Linked DNA regions of Lonchura striata. The protein of the gene in region 2 binds, or shares a complex with, the protein of the main gene of each other region. Links are inferred from orthologs where the notes say so. Each region holds a gene or a part of one and is shown on either strand. Other genes may lie near its edges. The genes, in order: PDK3 and DLAT.

Region 1 (7,771 bases), on a different chromosome or scaffold from region 2:
AAATGCTGCACAGAGTGAATGCTCAGACTTTCTGACACAGAGGTCCCAAGCCCACGGCACAGTAACCTCTGACACACTCACAGCAGCTACAAAGACAGCTGCAAGCTCAACAGGACATGGATGCAAAGAGGACTCAGCTACAAAGCCAAGCAAGTGTCACTGCCTTAACTACTGCCTTCTGGTTTGCCTCACAGGTTTTTAGTACTAGCAAGCTACTTTAAACAAACTGTCTCTTATAGTGGTTTAAATAGCTGAATGAAGCAGAGAAAGTTTTAAAACAAATGTCATTAATTTATATGACTGGAAAGAAATAGAGACTCTACAGCCTCGCTATGCACACAACTGTGTTCCATACAACCCACACTGGTAGTCAGTAATTTAAAAAAGCCCAAGCTGCACTTCAATACACATTGCTGCCAACTATCTTTGAAGAGACTCTTCAGCTCATAGGAAATACAGTTTCTCTCCCCTGGCTCACCAGAATTTTACAGTTCTGTAAGTCAACTCACTCTAAACCAATACAGCCAATATAAAATGGACATAAAGAACACATTGTAGTTTCACCATCATCAGAAATCAAGTTGAAAAACTTTCTTCACACAAATCCAAATCGCAGTACGTGTAAATTCTGTATGAGAAATGTGCATCAGACAACAAAATCAGACAACCATTATAGGGTTATTCACACATATCCTTTGGGCTTACTCTTCTTCAGCATTTGTTGAAAATTCAGCCACGTTTTTGTAAAACTAGCACTACATTCATGTAGCTCAATTAAAAAGACCATTTATTTGAAGTGAGACACCAAATAGCCTCTATAAGCTGACCACAAAACAGTGTCTTCTTCCCATCAAACATTCTTACAAATAAACAAGCACCACTGAACTGCACCTTGAGTATTGTGCTCCTTATGCTTGGCATATTTTGTCTCTTGAATACTTGTGTCCTGTGACACCAGCAAATTCTTTTTTGGCTAACTCAATACATAAGCAACACAGTTCCCTGACATGGTGCATATTGTTCAGGCCTTCCACACCTCAAGTGGGAAAACTTTTGCACTATCACTCACATTTTCCTTTAGGCCTATGAAGACTCCAGCTGAACTTGAAATTACCCAAAGCTGTAAACAATTAGGATCACGTAAGTTAAGTAACTACACTGGGTTCCATTTATTTCCTTAAACTGCTGTAATCTTCCTACTTGAGTTTTCCCAAATAAATACAAGCATTAAAGAGTAAGTAAGTGAAGATGTTAAGTGGCCCATAAAACTTATTAAGATTAAGGTGATAGGTTTAGCAAGGTTGATATAACATAGACCTACTAATTTTAGAAACTCCTGGCAACCTTTCAAGACTAAACCATAGACTTTTTTTTCTTCAGAGGTTTTAAATGTCAGTGACTACATAGCTTCCCATCAGTCTTAAGACATGAAGACCCTTAAATACATGGCCACACATACAGAAGATTCCAATGACACATCCAGTGAGAACTGGAGCATATCTAAAGAATAAGGCTGGCCAGGCTGTAACTTCCTGTTCTTGCTCTGTTCATTTCCAGTAAAAGAAGCCAGACTTAAAGTTGTAAAAGAAAACTACTTCTTCTGAAGAATCACAAGACCATAAAGTAATACAGGCACTACAATGTTAAAACAAGTGCATAATGAAAAAGCTGCCACAGAAGAGATGTCCAAAGGCAAACAGTAACGCTGGGCAACATAGAACTGTAGAAATACTTACCAAAAAGCAAAGTTTTGTCCGAACATCCAAGGCTTTAAAGCAAATCTTGAAATCTTTACACCTCTAGTCACAACTGAAAAGGCTCACAAACACTAATACTTCCCCAGCAACAATTCAGAAACCCAACTTTCAAATAAGCTACAGTGACACAATTTGTTTAGTGCCAGGGCTAAAATAAAGATGTTCTAAGATTTAGGCCGTTGTTCTTGTCAGTACAGAAAGACACAGCATAAGAAGCACCAATGCTAGAGAAGAAGCCCAGCAGCACAGGAAGGGGTGGGGAAGAGGTAACAAACTCAGGTGAACGGAGAGCAGAGAAAGAAAGCACAACTTCTACTCAGGTTCTCCTTTAAGTGGAGACAGGGGGTTTTGTTGGGTTTTTTAACAGTACAAAATCCTGTTTCACTGAGACATCTATCAAGCCCATTACTGGCTTTCTGTACTTACAGCATTCTTTCACTAATACCATTACCATAATTGTGCAATTGTATTCACTTTTAATCACTTTCTGGCTGAACACTGGCTCATGTTTGTCCCTTACTGTAAGAGTGTAATGAAGAAACACTCTGTGTTAAGCTTCATGACGTTACACATGGCCTTTTTATTCACTTTACCAGCAATATTTATAGGTTAATAAAATCTCAACAATTCTCGTGTCAGAGAGCAAGAGTCAAATAACTTCCGATACAGAAATGAGTTTATCATTATCTAGATGGAAGCATGTTTTTTAACAACACAAGCCACTCCTGGATTTCATTCCAGGGCTTCTGAAAAGAAAAATGCTATTTATCATCAGCAACATTTCCTGAAGTGCTCATGAATTTTACACAAACAGGTCTCCTATACACGTGAGGTTAAGAGTTCACGTCCGAGCATTAAGTAAGCCGATCTCAGCACGGCAGATGCAAATGTTCACGCTCAAGACCATTACTTTACTCTCTCCTTCACTCGCTAAGCTCACAAAACATCAGGTCAGGAACCCTTATGCTGACCCCCATCCCAATGGTACCCGTGTCAGGGATAACGCAGGAAGGAGGAGCCAGCCCGCCGCTCCGGCCCCTCGGCGAGGCGAGCAGCGGCTGTCCGCCGGTGCCGACACCGCGCCCGGGCCCGGGGCTGTCCGCGCGGGCCCTGCGGGGCCCCGGGCCGGGCCGGGCCGGGCCGGGCCGCGCTCCCGATGCGGCCGAGGAGCGGGGCCGAGGAGCGGGGCCGAGGAGCGGGGCCGAGGAGCCGGGCCGAGGAGCCGGGCCGAGGAGCGGGGCCTGCGCGCCGGCCGCCACCGCCGCTGCCCGGGAGAGCCGCGGCGACCCCCGCACGCCCTCACCCCGCGGCCCCGCACTCACCGAAGTCGAGGAACTGCTTGATGGAGAGGGGCGAGGGGGAGAAGCGCGAGTAGTACTCGATCTGCTTGGGGACGGGGCTCTTGAGCAGCGCCCCGCACAGCCGCATGGCGCGGCCCGCCCGGCTCCGCTGCGCTCCCGCCGCCGGCGGCTCCTGCCCGGGCGCGGCCGCTCCGCGCCGCCCGTCGCGCTCCGCGGCCCGGCCCGGCCCGGCGGGAGGGGCGAGCGCCGAGCCCGCTCCGCGCACGCGCACGCTGCGCGCGGGGGCGGGGCGGGAGCGCGGCCGCGGGGGCGGGAGCGCGGCCGCGGGGGCGGGAGCGCGGCCGCGGGGGCGGGAGCGCGGCCGCGGGGGCGGGAGCGCGGCCGCGGGGGCGGGAGCGCGGCCGCGGGGGCGGGAGCGCGGCCGCGGGGGCGGGAGCGCGGCCGCGGGGGCGGGAGCGCGGCCGCGGGGGCGGGAGCGCGGCCGCGGGGGCGGGAGCGCGGCCGCGGGGGCGGGAGCGCGGCGTGTCTGAGCTCGCCCCGGGGGCGGGAGCGCGGGGTGTCTGAGCTCGCCCCGGGGGCACCGCCGGGTGTCTGAGCTCGCCCCGGGGGCACCGCCGGGTGTCTGAGCCCGACCCGGGGGCACCGCCCGGTGTCTGAGCTCGCCCCGGGGGCACCGCCGGGTGTCTGAGCCCGCCCCGGGGGCGGGAGCGCGGGGTGTCTGAGCCCGGCCCGGGGGCACCGCCGGGTGTCTGAGCCCGCCCCGGGGGCACCGCCGGCTGTCTGAGCCCGCCCCGGGGGCACCGGCGCTGCCCTCGGCCAGGCTGGAAAAACCCCTGGGATCACCGAGCCCAGCCTGCGACCCAACACCGCCGTGCCAGCTACGCCATGGCGCTGAGCGGCACGTCCGCTCTTTCCTCCCTCTCTTTCCTCCAAGGACGGTCGCTCCGCCACCGTGTTGTCCACAAAAATCGGTTTCATGACCTGCTGTGTGAAAAGCCAGTAATAATACTCGAGAAAGAGATGTTTTGTTTCAGGGTTGGGCAAGCTAGAGTGCTCAGTGATATTCTATGAGTCAAGCACGCCAACTATCAAAACTTTTTGCTAATTATAGATTTTAGCAAACAAAAGATTAGGTTGTCATTGGCTACAAGTTACATAGCTCTCTTATTAATCAGTATTCTTTTATTGGTCAATGATTCTCCCACCTGCCATGTTAATTAGACCTCTCTTCTGGTGCAGGGCTTTCCTGGGCCAGGAGTCGGCGGTCCCAGTCTCCCCCTGCCAGAACCACCTTTTACCCAGCTGGAGCTGACTTCAGCACAATTACTGAGTTAGCTTTATTGGTTTCTTCTTAATGTTGAGAGTTCTGCCAGATGTCCTTGTGGCCCGTGAATTCTGCGTTCTTTGTGTCCACTATCAGTGGGCATCCTCCTCCCCAAGGACTGTTAACCTCCCTCTACATCCGAGATCATCACATCATGTCAAGCCCTAACCTTAACAAGGCAATTCTACCAACAAGTTGTTTTTCTGACAGCTGGACATCACTTAGAGCTTGCTTGCTAGCTGCTATCTGTTTCACAGATTAAATCTGCTTCTTGATTAAGCTTGAACATATACAAAGCTCAAACATCAAAGAACATATTTTCTTGAGCAAATTTTACATATTCCACATCTTGCAACACCTTGGCAGTCTACTCTATTATCTAATCACCCTGTCTGTGAAGAAATTCCTCCTGATGTCCAACCTAACCCTCCCCTGGCAGTTTAAGACTATGTCCTCATGGCCTGTAGCTGGTTGCCTGGGAGAAGAGCCCAAACCCACCTGGCTACAGCCTCTCTTCAGGTTTTGTATGGACCAGTTCATATGTCTCACCTGGTCCATAACAGGGTGCTTGCTTCCAGCCAAAATACAGCCCTCAGGTATCCACTGGGTTGTACAGCGGGTGTGAGGCTGGTAGAACTAAGTTCACTACATGTTACAATAGTTGAAATTTTCTGAAAATTTCCCATTTTTATCTGAGAAAGCATCTGAACACAATTAAAATTAATTTTGATGTCTAGAATCAAAAGTGAAGCAAGGTATTGTAGTATCAAAATGTATCACTGAATGCAGTCACTGATTGGTTTTTGCTATGATGTGGTTTAGGTACATTTAAGGCAAATAACTGGTGACCAGTTCCTTATTTTTCTCCAGTGAATTAAATGCAAGTTTTAGCAGGTACAAGATAGTATTACTCTAATTTTATAACTGACTTGCAAAAAAACCCAGTACTCTTCAATTATTGGAAGTCTCTCTCCATCCTTTCTGTCATGATTGTCCTCACTGAATTAGAGACTGAGAAATCCTCACCTAATGTACAAATAACTGGAAAGCATTTTAAAATCACTTCAGTTGCAGCTTATAGGAATGACTGGCTTGAAGAAGCATGTCACGTAATCAAGACTGACAAAATGAATCATCTACTGTAATTCTGAAGCTTTTTTGGCAGGTGGGAAAAGTGTTTTAAAACTTTTGTTATATATACTCATCAGGATTTGATTGTGATTCATTTAGAGCATAACTGAAATCAGTTGTGGAATTATCTGGCAGAAAACTGTCTTTTTTTGTTAAAGACAGAACAACATTTCCCAAATTAAGATGAAATTAGCAGCTTCAAATTATGATTAATTATCAACATTTAAACCACTTGATTTTATGTATCTTTCACATTTTAAAGTAATTCTAGTGTGATTTCAGCTTCAAAAAGTGGCAAGACAACAGTTAACTATTGAGTTGTCTTTCTAAACACAAAATCATTTTTGCAATATAAAGCATCACAGCATCATTTTTTTTTTTTAATTTCTTAATCTTATATTAGCCAACCCATGTGAAAAATTGGAATTGTTTTTGTCTATGGTGATACAGACTAAAGCCACAATGAGGACACGCACAAAGTCACTGCGAAACAGAGGTGTGCTCTTCTTATCAGACTCCCAGTAGCTTCTCTCAGCTCTGGAGAAATTGATGACAAAACCAACAACTCGAATTCTCCAAAAACTGTTGGAAACACACTGTAGAGACATTCAAATCCCAGACCCACCCAGCAGCTCTTTGTGGCCTTGTGCTTAAGAAGACTGCAGGACTTGCTTGAGAGAACATAAAATGCACATGGGAAAGGCTATGGTTTTACCAATGCAAGAAGCAGCAAGAATACACATAAACCTAGTTCTTAAACAATCTACCTAAATGAAGAGAAGTTAGTGGCATAACCCGTGCAAAGTACAAAATATCACTGGGATCCATAGGATTAAATTATAGAAGCTGAGTTTTGCTTTTTGGACCGATTGAATTTCTCATACCTCATACCTGCCTTCTTTATGTATTTCAGAACATATCTGGTGCAGAAAAGCTTCCTGAACTCTGTGAGAGCCGCCCTGCATCTTTGATTAAATGTTAATAAACTTCTACAGGCATACAGGAAAGAAATTATTTACTCCTTAAGAAAATTTGATTTTAACGTTGATAACACCTAACACTGCTGAATTTCTCTGGTGTTTTTATCATCTCTCTTTTACTGAGAGTATTGTTTTCATATTTTCCAGTTAGTTTCAAATATGGAACAACTGGAATTAACCAAGGGGTCAAAGATGACTCACGTTTACATGGCCATTTAGTATCCAGAACAACTTAGTCACTTGTTCAATTAAAATCTGTGAGCATACAGGCAACTGGAAACCACAGCACCTGTAAGGGAATTAGGGTCTTGGTATGGACACTTGCCAGAACCCTGCACCGAGGACAAAATGCCTGTGGTGTCCTGGCTTAGGGAGCACTACCCAGCCCCACGGCCCCTGGCTTGATCCCAGGAGCCCCAGACACATCATGGAATCAGTTCTTGTTGGGCCATCACTGTGGCAAAGGAGATGGATAATTAAATATGAATAAACAATCTTGCCTTAATAATTTTTGTTGGTTTTCTGTGTTGGAGGTGGTATAAAATCACTGCTTCTAACTCACAAAAACTTTGAGAGGGAAAAGCAGCAATATCAGGATTAGCTGCAGAGTGACTCCCTAAAACAGAGAAACTGATGTAGAGAATATTTGCAAAAGCAAAGCTTTTGTGTTTCCTACCCTCAGAAATTTCTAGCACTGACTGTTGACCACTGGATTTAGAGACAGTACTTAAAAATTGGCCTCCCCTAGGTTTGTGTTTTAGCTCTGATGGGAGGGAGGGACTGTGTACCTTAATGACAGAGTGTACATGGGAGAGCTTTTGCTATTCCTTCTATGGGACTTGTCTTTATATGTTAATTCAGTGGAGCCGGGAGATAAATAAGAGACCCTTCTATGTCTAGTAACGAGAAAATTAAGTTACCAGAAAATAAAAATCTCCCTAAGTTTTAGTTTTCTTAGCCCTTAAAGTGCTAAGAGAGTGCTTAAAAGTTAAAATTAGAAATTCACTCCTACAGAAATTTGTAGGCAAACTTGGTATGGAGGTTTTAAAAGATGCATTTTTGTTACATTTTCAGATCTCATTCTTTCTGGACCTTTATATTACACACACTTGTTTTCAGGGATCAAAGCTTTTGCATGTAATATTTCACCCAAGGAACATATATTCACAGTGAAAATTTCAGACCAGAGCCATAATCTTCTTAACAAAGCTTGTTTTATTTCACTGCAGAATACATAGTAGGTCTATAAACTAGCTGCAGGGGATTAAGCATAATGGA
Region 2 (7,636 bases):
TTTATTTTTATGGTAGGTGTTCCATGATGATGACATCATTCCTGGCTGGGAGGGGAAAATCGTGGCCTGGGTGGAAGAAGACCACGGGGAGAATTAATGGAGCTCTCAAGCTCTGTTTCTATGGAAACCTGTGACTGTCTGCAGAGCTCGGAGAGTGACCAAGGAGCCCAAGTGCTGGGAAGAGACCAATTCGAGCTGCCAAAAAAGAGCCTCTGTGCCAGCCAGGGGTGGTGCAGGCTGTGTGCATGGACAGCTGGCACCTGACTGCCCGTGCCCGAGGGCAGCTGCTGTCCTGGGGCTGCAGGGACTGGTCTGTGGGGCAGAAACACCCGGCTTGGCCCTGCCAGCAAAACCCTGGAGGCCTTAAGGATGCTTTGCCCCCTTCTCTTCCATCCCTGCACTTTGTGCTGCAGGCTCAGCTGGGCATCTCCTGTGCTGGTGTCACACAAAACTGCACTGATGGTGAAAATGTGAAGCTTTGCCTGCATGCAGTAGAGCTGAATTGTGAGAGCTGAAGTTGGACCAGCTGGAAGTTGTCCTGCAGGAGCAGAGTGACTCTGGACATTGCAGGCTGACAGGACCTGTTCTGGGTGGGGGGAGAGTCCTCTGGAGGGCTGATGCATGACCTGAAGCACAGCTCACCAACCTGGCCAAGCTCCTTTTCTCCCAAACTCAGGCTCCTCTTTCCCAGCCCACTTTCCCCACTTTCCAAAGCTGTTCCCATCCCTGAGGACCTCAGGGCTGGCTTTGTCACTGAAGGGATCTGGGGGATCTCAGTGCTTGTTTGTTTGCTGAAGGATTTCATGGGTGGGGGAGCTGGAATCAGCTGCTTCCTGAGGTCCTCACACCCCCTGTCCTTGCTGAGCCTCTGTCCCTGCGCTCCTGCCCTCTGTGCTGTCACCTCCTGTGCACAGACATCCTCTGCTGCTGTCCCCCCACTGCCAGGGCCACCAAGCACTTATCCACACCAGTTCCTTGCTAAGCTTAGTCCTGAAGGATCAGGAAAGAACTGCTGGGGAAAGAACTGCTCTAAAATCCCCCAAGGGTGGATTTTTTCCCTTTGGTTTTTTGTGGTTTTGTTTTTCTACATCGCCGGTGGGCTTGGGAGGTCAAATGGGCTCTGCTCCTTCCTGTGGGCCTTCCATGGACTGTGTGTGTGTGCTGTGCATGAGGCTGGGAGAGGGGGCAACCTGGTTTTACTGTTTTATATCAACGTGTCCTTTTGTAAACCTGTTCTTGAAATTATTTTGTACCGATTCACATTTGTCTGAGGACTGTGGATATTTTTATACTAGTGCAAGTGCTCTCTGTATATTTCTGCACGCATTATACTGTGTTTTACTCCTTTCCTGGTGGATGCTGAGATGTTTTGTATCATCTTCTGTTGACACAACATTGGCCTTGTAATTTTATCTTACTATGGAAATCCAACTGGTCGATACTGGGTTTTATATCAGGGTTCCTACGTGGTTTTGTGCCACATTGGCACAACACAAACTGCCTCCTGTTCTGGACAATTTCTGTGACTTTCTGTTTTCAGACAGCAGGAGGAAAGTTAATCAATGAGCAGGTTAATTAATGGGGGGAAATACATCCCTTTTGGAAAAGAAACAATGATATTCCTTCTCCCCTGGACCTCGTTTCTCTGTTGCATGGTTTCTAGTGAAGAGGGCATGGGCTTGTGATACTGAGATCAATTGTATTTCAATTGCAAACTTCTCACAAGTGTTTCATTCTTTGGGTTTTACTCGTGGGTTTTATTTCAGCAACAGCCCTGCACCCAGGCTGGAGTTTCATGGAGCAAATTATGAAGTTTTTTTCAGGTCTGTGTTGGCCAGCTTCATGTCCTTCTCTGCTATCCAGAGCAGCAGTTTGCTTTGGGAGGTTTCTCCCCCATAAAAGCAAAGAGTGTCACTTTTAAATGAGTTTCAGCTCTTGACTCCGGAGATTTTGCTACAAGATCAACAAACATAGGAAAGGGAAAGTAACTCTGAGGAAAGGTGGGCAGAAATCAACCGGGTGTAAGCAGTGCTGGGATATGGCAGTGAGAGCACATCTCACAACAAAGCCACCCTCTGCAGAAAGACCTTTTTGCTTAGGCTGAGGTGGAACCTGCTATGTTTAAGTTAATGGTGTTTGCTGCTCCTCCTGCCGCACTGAGCGGAGCCTGGAGCTATCCCCGACACCCTTGGGTGCATTTATGTGTTCTGCCCGTTCCCGGGGAGCAGAGCTGAGCCTGGCTGTCCCCTGCTGCTGGGGAGCCTGCAGAGCCCGAGGTGCCCGGTTCTCCTTGTGCAGAACCCGAGGTGCCCGGTTCTCCTTGTACAGAGTCCCAGGTGCCCGGTTCTCCTTGTACAGAGCCCGAGGTGCCCAGTTCTCCTTGTACAGAGCCCCAGGTGCCCGGTTTTCCTTGTACAGAGCCAGAGGTGCCCGGTTCTCCTTGTACAGAGCCCGAGGTGCCCGGTTTTCCTTGTACAGAGCCCGAGGTGCCCGGTTTTCCCTGTGCAGAACCCGAGGTGCCCGGTTTTCCTTGTACAGAGCCCCAGGTGCCCGGTTTTCCTTGTACAGAGCCCCAGGTGCCCGGTTTTCCCTGTGCAGATCCCTAAAATGCCCGGTTTCCCTGCACAGAGCTCTAAGGTGCCCGGTTTTCCTTGTAAAGACCCCCAGGTGCCCAGTTTTCCCCATGCAGACCCCGAGGTGCCCAGCTTTTCCTGCCAGCGAGTTTTCCTGCCGCTTTTCCCTGCACAGAGCCCTGAGGTGCCCGGTTTTCCCTGAGCAGAACCCACCGGTGCCCGGTTTTCCTGGTTTTCCTGCCGGGGAGCTGTGCAGAGGCCTAAGGTGCCCAGTTTTCCCTGTACAGACCCCCGGTGCCCGGTTTTCCTTGTGCAAACACCCAGGTACCTGGTTTCCATGCCAGTTTTCCCTGTACAGACCCCCAGTGCCCGGTTTTCCTGCCGGTTTTCCCTATGCACTGCTCCCGGTGCCCGGTTTTCCTGGTGGGGAGCTGTGCAGACCCCGAGGTGCCCGGTCCTGTGCACAGCCCCCGGTGCCCGGTTTTCATGCCCGGTTTCTCCATTCAGAACCCCCCGGTGCCCGGTTTTCCTGCCGGTTTTCCCTATGCACTGCTCCCGGTGCCCGGTTTTCCTGGTGGGAAGCTGTGCAGACCCCGAGGTGCCCGGTCCTGTGCACAGCCCCCGGTGCCCGGTTTCCAAGCCGGTCCCCCCGCTTGGAGCCCCCGATGCCCGGTTTTCATGCCCGGTCTCCCCGTTCAGAACCCCCCGGTGCCCGGTTTCTCCATTCAGAACCCCCCGGTGCCCGGTCTCCCCGTTCAGAACCCCGCGGTGCCCGGTTTCCATGCCGGTTTCTCCATTCAGAACCCCCCGGTGCCCGGTTTCCAAGCCGGTTTCCCCGTTCAGAACCCCCCGGTGCCCGGTTTCTCCATTCAGAACCCCCCGGTGCCCGGTTTCCATGCCCGGTCTCCCCGTTCAGAACCCCCCGGTGCCCGGTCCCCCGCTCGGAGCCCCGCTGCCGGCTGCCCTCCCGCCGGGCCGGGCGGGCTGAGGCGGTGCCGGTGCCTGAGGCGGTGACGGGGCAGTGCCGGGCCGGTGCCGGGGCGGTGCCGGGGCGGTGCCGGGGCGGTGCCGGGGCGGTGCCGGGGCGGTGCCGGTGCCGGGGCGGTGCCGGGGCGGTGCTGGGGCGGTGCCTGAGGCGGTGCCGGTGCCGGGGCGGTGCCGGGGCGCGGGGCGGTGCCGGGGCGGTGCCGGGCCGGTGCCGGGGCGCGGGCCGGTGCCGGGGCGGTGCCTGAGGCGGTGCCGGGGCGGTGCCTGAGGCGGTGCCGGTGCCGGTGCCGGGGCGGTGCCGGTGCCGGGGCGGTGCCTGAGGCGGTGCCGGGGCGGTGCCGGGGCGGTGCCTGAGGCGGTGCCGGGGCGGTGCCGGTGCCGGGGCGCGGGGCGGTGCCGGGGCGGTGCCTGAGGCGGTGCCGGGGCGGTGCCTGAGGCGGTGCCGGTGCCGGTGCCGGGGCGGTGCCGGGGCGCGGGGCGGTGCCGGGGCGGTGCCGGGGCGGTGCCTGAGGCGGTGCCGGGGCGGTGCCGGTGCCGGGGCGCGGGGCGGTGCCGGGGCGGTGCCGGGGCGGTGCCGGGGCGGTGCCGGGGCGGTGCCGGTGCCGGGGCGGTGCCTGAGGCGGTGCCGGGGCAGTGCCGGGGCGGTGCCTGAGGCGGTGCCGGGGCGGTGCCGGTGCCGGGGCGGTGCCGGGGCAGTGCCTGAGGCGGTGCCGGGGCGCGGGGCGGTGCCTGAGGCGCGCTGGCCGCCGCCCTCCGCCGCTTTACGGCCGCCCCAGTGTCGCGCTCGCCGCCCGCGCGGAGGTCACCGAGCGCCGCCGGCCCGGTCCGCCCGGCCCAGCCCGCTGCAGCCCGGCCCCAGCATGTGGCGGGTGTTGGCGCGACGCGTGTCCCGGGGCGCGGCCCGGCCGCCCGGCCCGGTGCGGCCCCGCCGAGCGCTCGGGGCCGGGGTCGGGGCCGGCCCGGCCCGGCACGGCCCGGTCTGGGGCGGCCCCGCGCCTCGCCCGCTGCTGCCGCCGCCCGCCTGGCCCCGGCTCGTCCCGCGCCGCTGCTGCAGCCTCCCGGCGCACCAGAAGGTGAGGGTCACCCCCGGGCCCCGGGCTGGCCCCCGTGCCCCCCGCTGCCCCTTCTTCCCCCAGGCCTCCCCCTTGCTTTCCCCAAAACTCCCCCTTGCTTTCCCCAATCCTGCCCCTTGCTTTCCCCAATCCTCCCCCTTGATTTCCCCAATCCTGCCCCTTGCTTCCCCCAGTCCTCCCCCTTGCTTTCCCCAACCCCCCTTGCTTCCCCAGTCCTGCCCCTTCTTTCCCCCTCCCTTCCCCTTCTTTCCCCAATCCTTCCCCTTGCTTTCCCCGATCCTGCCCCTTGCTTTCCCCGATCCTCCCCCTTGCTTTCCCCAATCCTCCCCCTTGCTTTCCCCAGTCCTCCCCCTTCTCTTTCCCCAATCCTCCCCCTTCTCTTTCCCCAATCCTCCCCCTTCTCTTTCCCCAATCCTCCCCCTTCTCTTTCCCCAATCCTGCCCCTTCTCTTTCCCCAATCCTGCCCCTTCTCTTTCCCCAATCCTGCCCCTTGCTTCTCCTCAGTCCTGCCCCTTCTTTCCCCCTCCCTGCCCCTTTCCCCAATCCTGCCCCTTTCCCCAATCCTGCCCCTTTCCCCAATCCTGCCCCTTTCCCCATCCCTGCCCCTTGCTTTCCCTCTCCCTGCCCCTTCTCTTTCCCCAGTCCTGCCCATTTCTTCCCCCCATCCTGCCCTTTCTCTTCCCCCCTCCTTGCCCTTTCTCTTCCCCCCATCCTGCATTTTCTCTTTCTCATCCCTGCCCCTTCTCTCTCCCCCTCCGCGTTTTCAGTCCCCTCCCCGTGCGGCTCAGTTTGCCCCGGGGATTGAAATCATCGGCTGGAGAATTCCTGTAGGATAATCAAGCCAGCCCCCTACCCGCCCGCCCCGGGGATGGGCTCCGTGGGTAAAACCTATTCCAACGCCTGGCTACCCAAACTGGGAGAAAATCAGTGATTTTTGTGTCTTTGGCACCACTTAGGCTCAAGCCCCTGGGTGGCTTTATCCTTTATCCCAGCACTGCTGTTGGTTCTTAGCAGACCCAGGCCCAGCCCTGGTGTGCTGTAACCTTTTCCTGGTTGAAATTACAGAGTGTTAAGGGGTTGGAATGGACCTTAAAGCCATGTGCAGGGACACCTTCCACCCTCCCACGTTGTTCCAAGCCCCACCCAGGCTGACCTTGAACACTTCCAGGGATGGGGCAAGCACAGCCTCTGCCCTCAGCACCCAGTGTGAGTTTGCCAGGGTTCTTCACCAGCAGCGTGGGACAGTGCTGGGGATTTGCAGCAGATCTGTGCCCCACATCCCACGCTGAGCTGAGGATTTGTCTCTGTCCCGTGTGTGCTTCCTGCTGCTGGATCTGTCTGGGCTGTGACACTGTGCTGTCCCTCACAGGTGACCCTGCCAGCGCTGTCCCCCACGATGCAGATGGGCACCATCTCACGCTGGGAGAAGAAGGAGGGGGACAAGATCAATGAAGGGGATCTCATAGCAGAGGTATCCTGGGGATGGGGCTGGGCTGGTCTCTCTTGAGCTGCACGTGTGGCCTGGGGGCTGTCCCCGGCTGAAGACAGATTTTGGATCCCAGATCCCAAGGGATGCTGGTGGGAAGGAGTGGCTGTCAGCCTCTCAGAGCTGGTTTGGGGGCAAACTTCCCTAGAGCTGCTGCCTCAGGGTGATTTTTCCAGAGCTGTGACCCTGCAGCAAACTGGGAAGCTCTGGGCTCACCATTTCCTCTTCTCTCTCAAAGGTGGAGACAGACAAAGCTACAGTTGGCTTTGAGAGCCTGGAGGAATGTTACCTGGCCAAGATCCTGGTGCCTGAAGGAACAAGGGATGTTCCTATTGGGGCTATAATATGCATCACAGTAGAAAAGTATGTATTTTCCTGACCCTCGATGTGAATTTTCCCTCCTGGGGCTTCTGGAGTGCCTTGAGTGAGAGACTGAGGCCATCACCTGATGGGCTTTGGGGCTCTGTGTGTTCTTCTAGGCCTGAACATATTGATGCCTTCAAAAATTACACCCTGGATTCTGCAGCAGCTGCTGCCCCCGCAGCCTCAGTGCCTCCCCCTCCAGCTGCAGCCCCCTCCCCACCACCTCAGCCTTCTCCTCAGGCCCCTGGCAGCTCTTACCCTCCTCACATGCAGGTAAGAGAGCACTGCTCCTGCTTTAAGGCTTCTTGCATGCTTTTTCTGCCCCTGGCATTGCTACCTGTGGGGCATTTTGCCATAAAAACTGTCTGGAATGGGAATTTATTAACTGTGCCACCTCAGTTGTGTTCTTAAAGCAGATGTCGGGGGACATCCCAGAAAGCTTTTTTAATAAATTCATTTCAGCATCCCAGCTGCTGGTGGAGGAGAGGCTTGTCCCTCCAGGGTTGTTGTCTTGAAAAATGTGCCAAAACTGCATTATTTGGACAGTTGTGGTATAAAAAGTCTTCGTGCTTAGTGTGAATAAGCTCTGCTCATAGAGCAGAGCTCCAGTCCCTGGTGCTCTGGTGACCACACCAGATGTGTCTGTGGGTGACTAATAATGAACTGTGTTTGTGGGTATAACCTTTTTGCTCTGCTTAGGTTTTGAAGTGTATCCACTGATGGATTTGAGCTCTTTGTATACAGGGGGTTGCTTTGACACCCCTTTGAAAAAGAAACTCTGGAATATTGAACCCCATCCCACAGATGAAGCATGTGGGAACTGATTTGTCTGAGATGTTACTCAAAGTCAGTAATAAAAGAATTAATGAATGGCTTCTAAATTTGTGTTTTGGCTACTAAAGTTGCTTTCTTCCCTCTGCTTGCCCCCACTGCCCAGTTTTGCTCCTGGTGTGTGTGTCACAGTGACAAAGTGATTTGCTGCAGCCTTCCTTAGCCTTGCAGGGTGATGGCAGTGATGATTATTTTGATTTATGCATTTCTTGCCCTCTGCTCTTGCCTGCTCTCGTGCTCAGGCCTTGCTCAAAGAAGCCAGAGCAGCACAGTGGGACAGCTCTGCTTAGCTGTCATGGAGCCACACCTAGGAGTGCATTAAG

The links.
Region 1: the proteins of DLAT (region 2) and PDK3 are in contact, whole or in part, in a crystal structure (PDB 1Y8N), measured with the Homo sapiens proteins. The link is inferred for Lonchura striata from reciprocal best matches to the Homo sapiens genes DLAT and PDK3. Residues at the interface, in NP_001922.2 of Homo sapiens: Ala225, Leu226, Ser227, Pro228, Thr229, Glu248, Gly249, Lys259, Ala260, Ile262, Glu265; in NP_005382.1 of Homo sapiens: Arg21, Phe22, Ser23, Pro24, Ser25, Pro26, Leu27, Phe48, Lys51, Val55, Asn373, Lys374, Ser375, Arg378.

The regions. Positions count from the first base shown.
Region 1 is NC_134604.1:103,971,231-103,979,001, reverse strand, and holds the start of PDK3 (pyruvate dehydrogenase kinase, isozyme 3), read right to left. Parts: upstream 3,242-7,771; 5' UTR 3,186-3,241; coding exon 3,080-3,185; intron 1-3,079. UniProt on the Homo sapiens protein: Inhibits pyruvate dehydrogenase activity by phosphorylation of the E1 subunit PDHA1, and thereby regulates glucose metabolism and aerobic respiration. Can also phosphorylate PDHA2.
Region 2 is NC_134625.1:9,522,578-9,530,213, forward strand, and holds the start of DLAT (dihydrolipoyllysine-residue acetyltransferase component of pyruvate dehydrogenase complex, mitochondrial), read left to right. Parts: upstream 1-4,420; coding exon 4,421-4,633; intron 4,634-6,002; coding exon 6,003-6,104; intron 6,105-6,357; coding exon 6,358-6,482; intron 6,483-6,598; coding exon 6,599-6,755; intron 6,756-7,636. Other genes in the region: DIXDC1 (dixin), read left to right, coding at 17-97.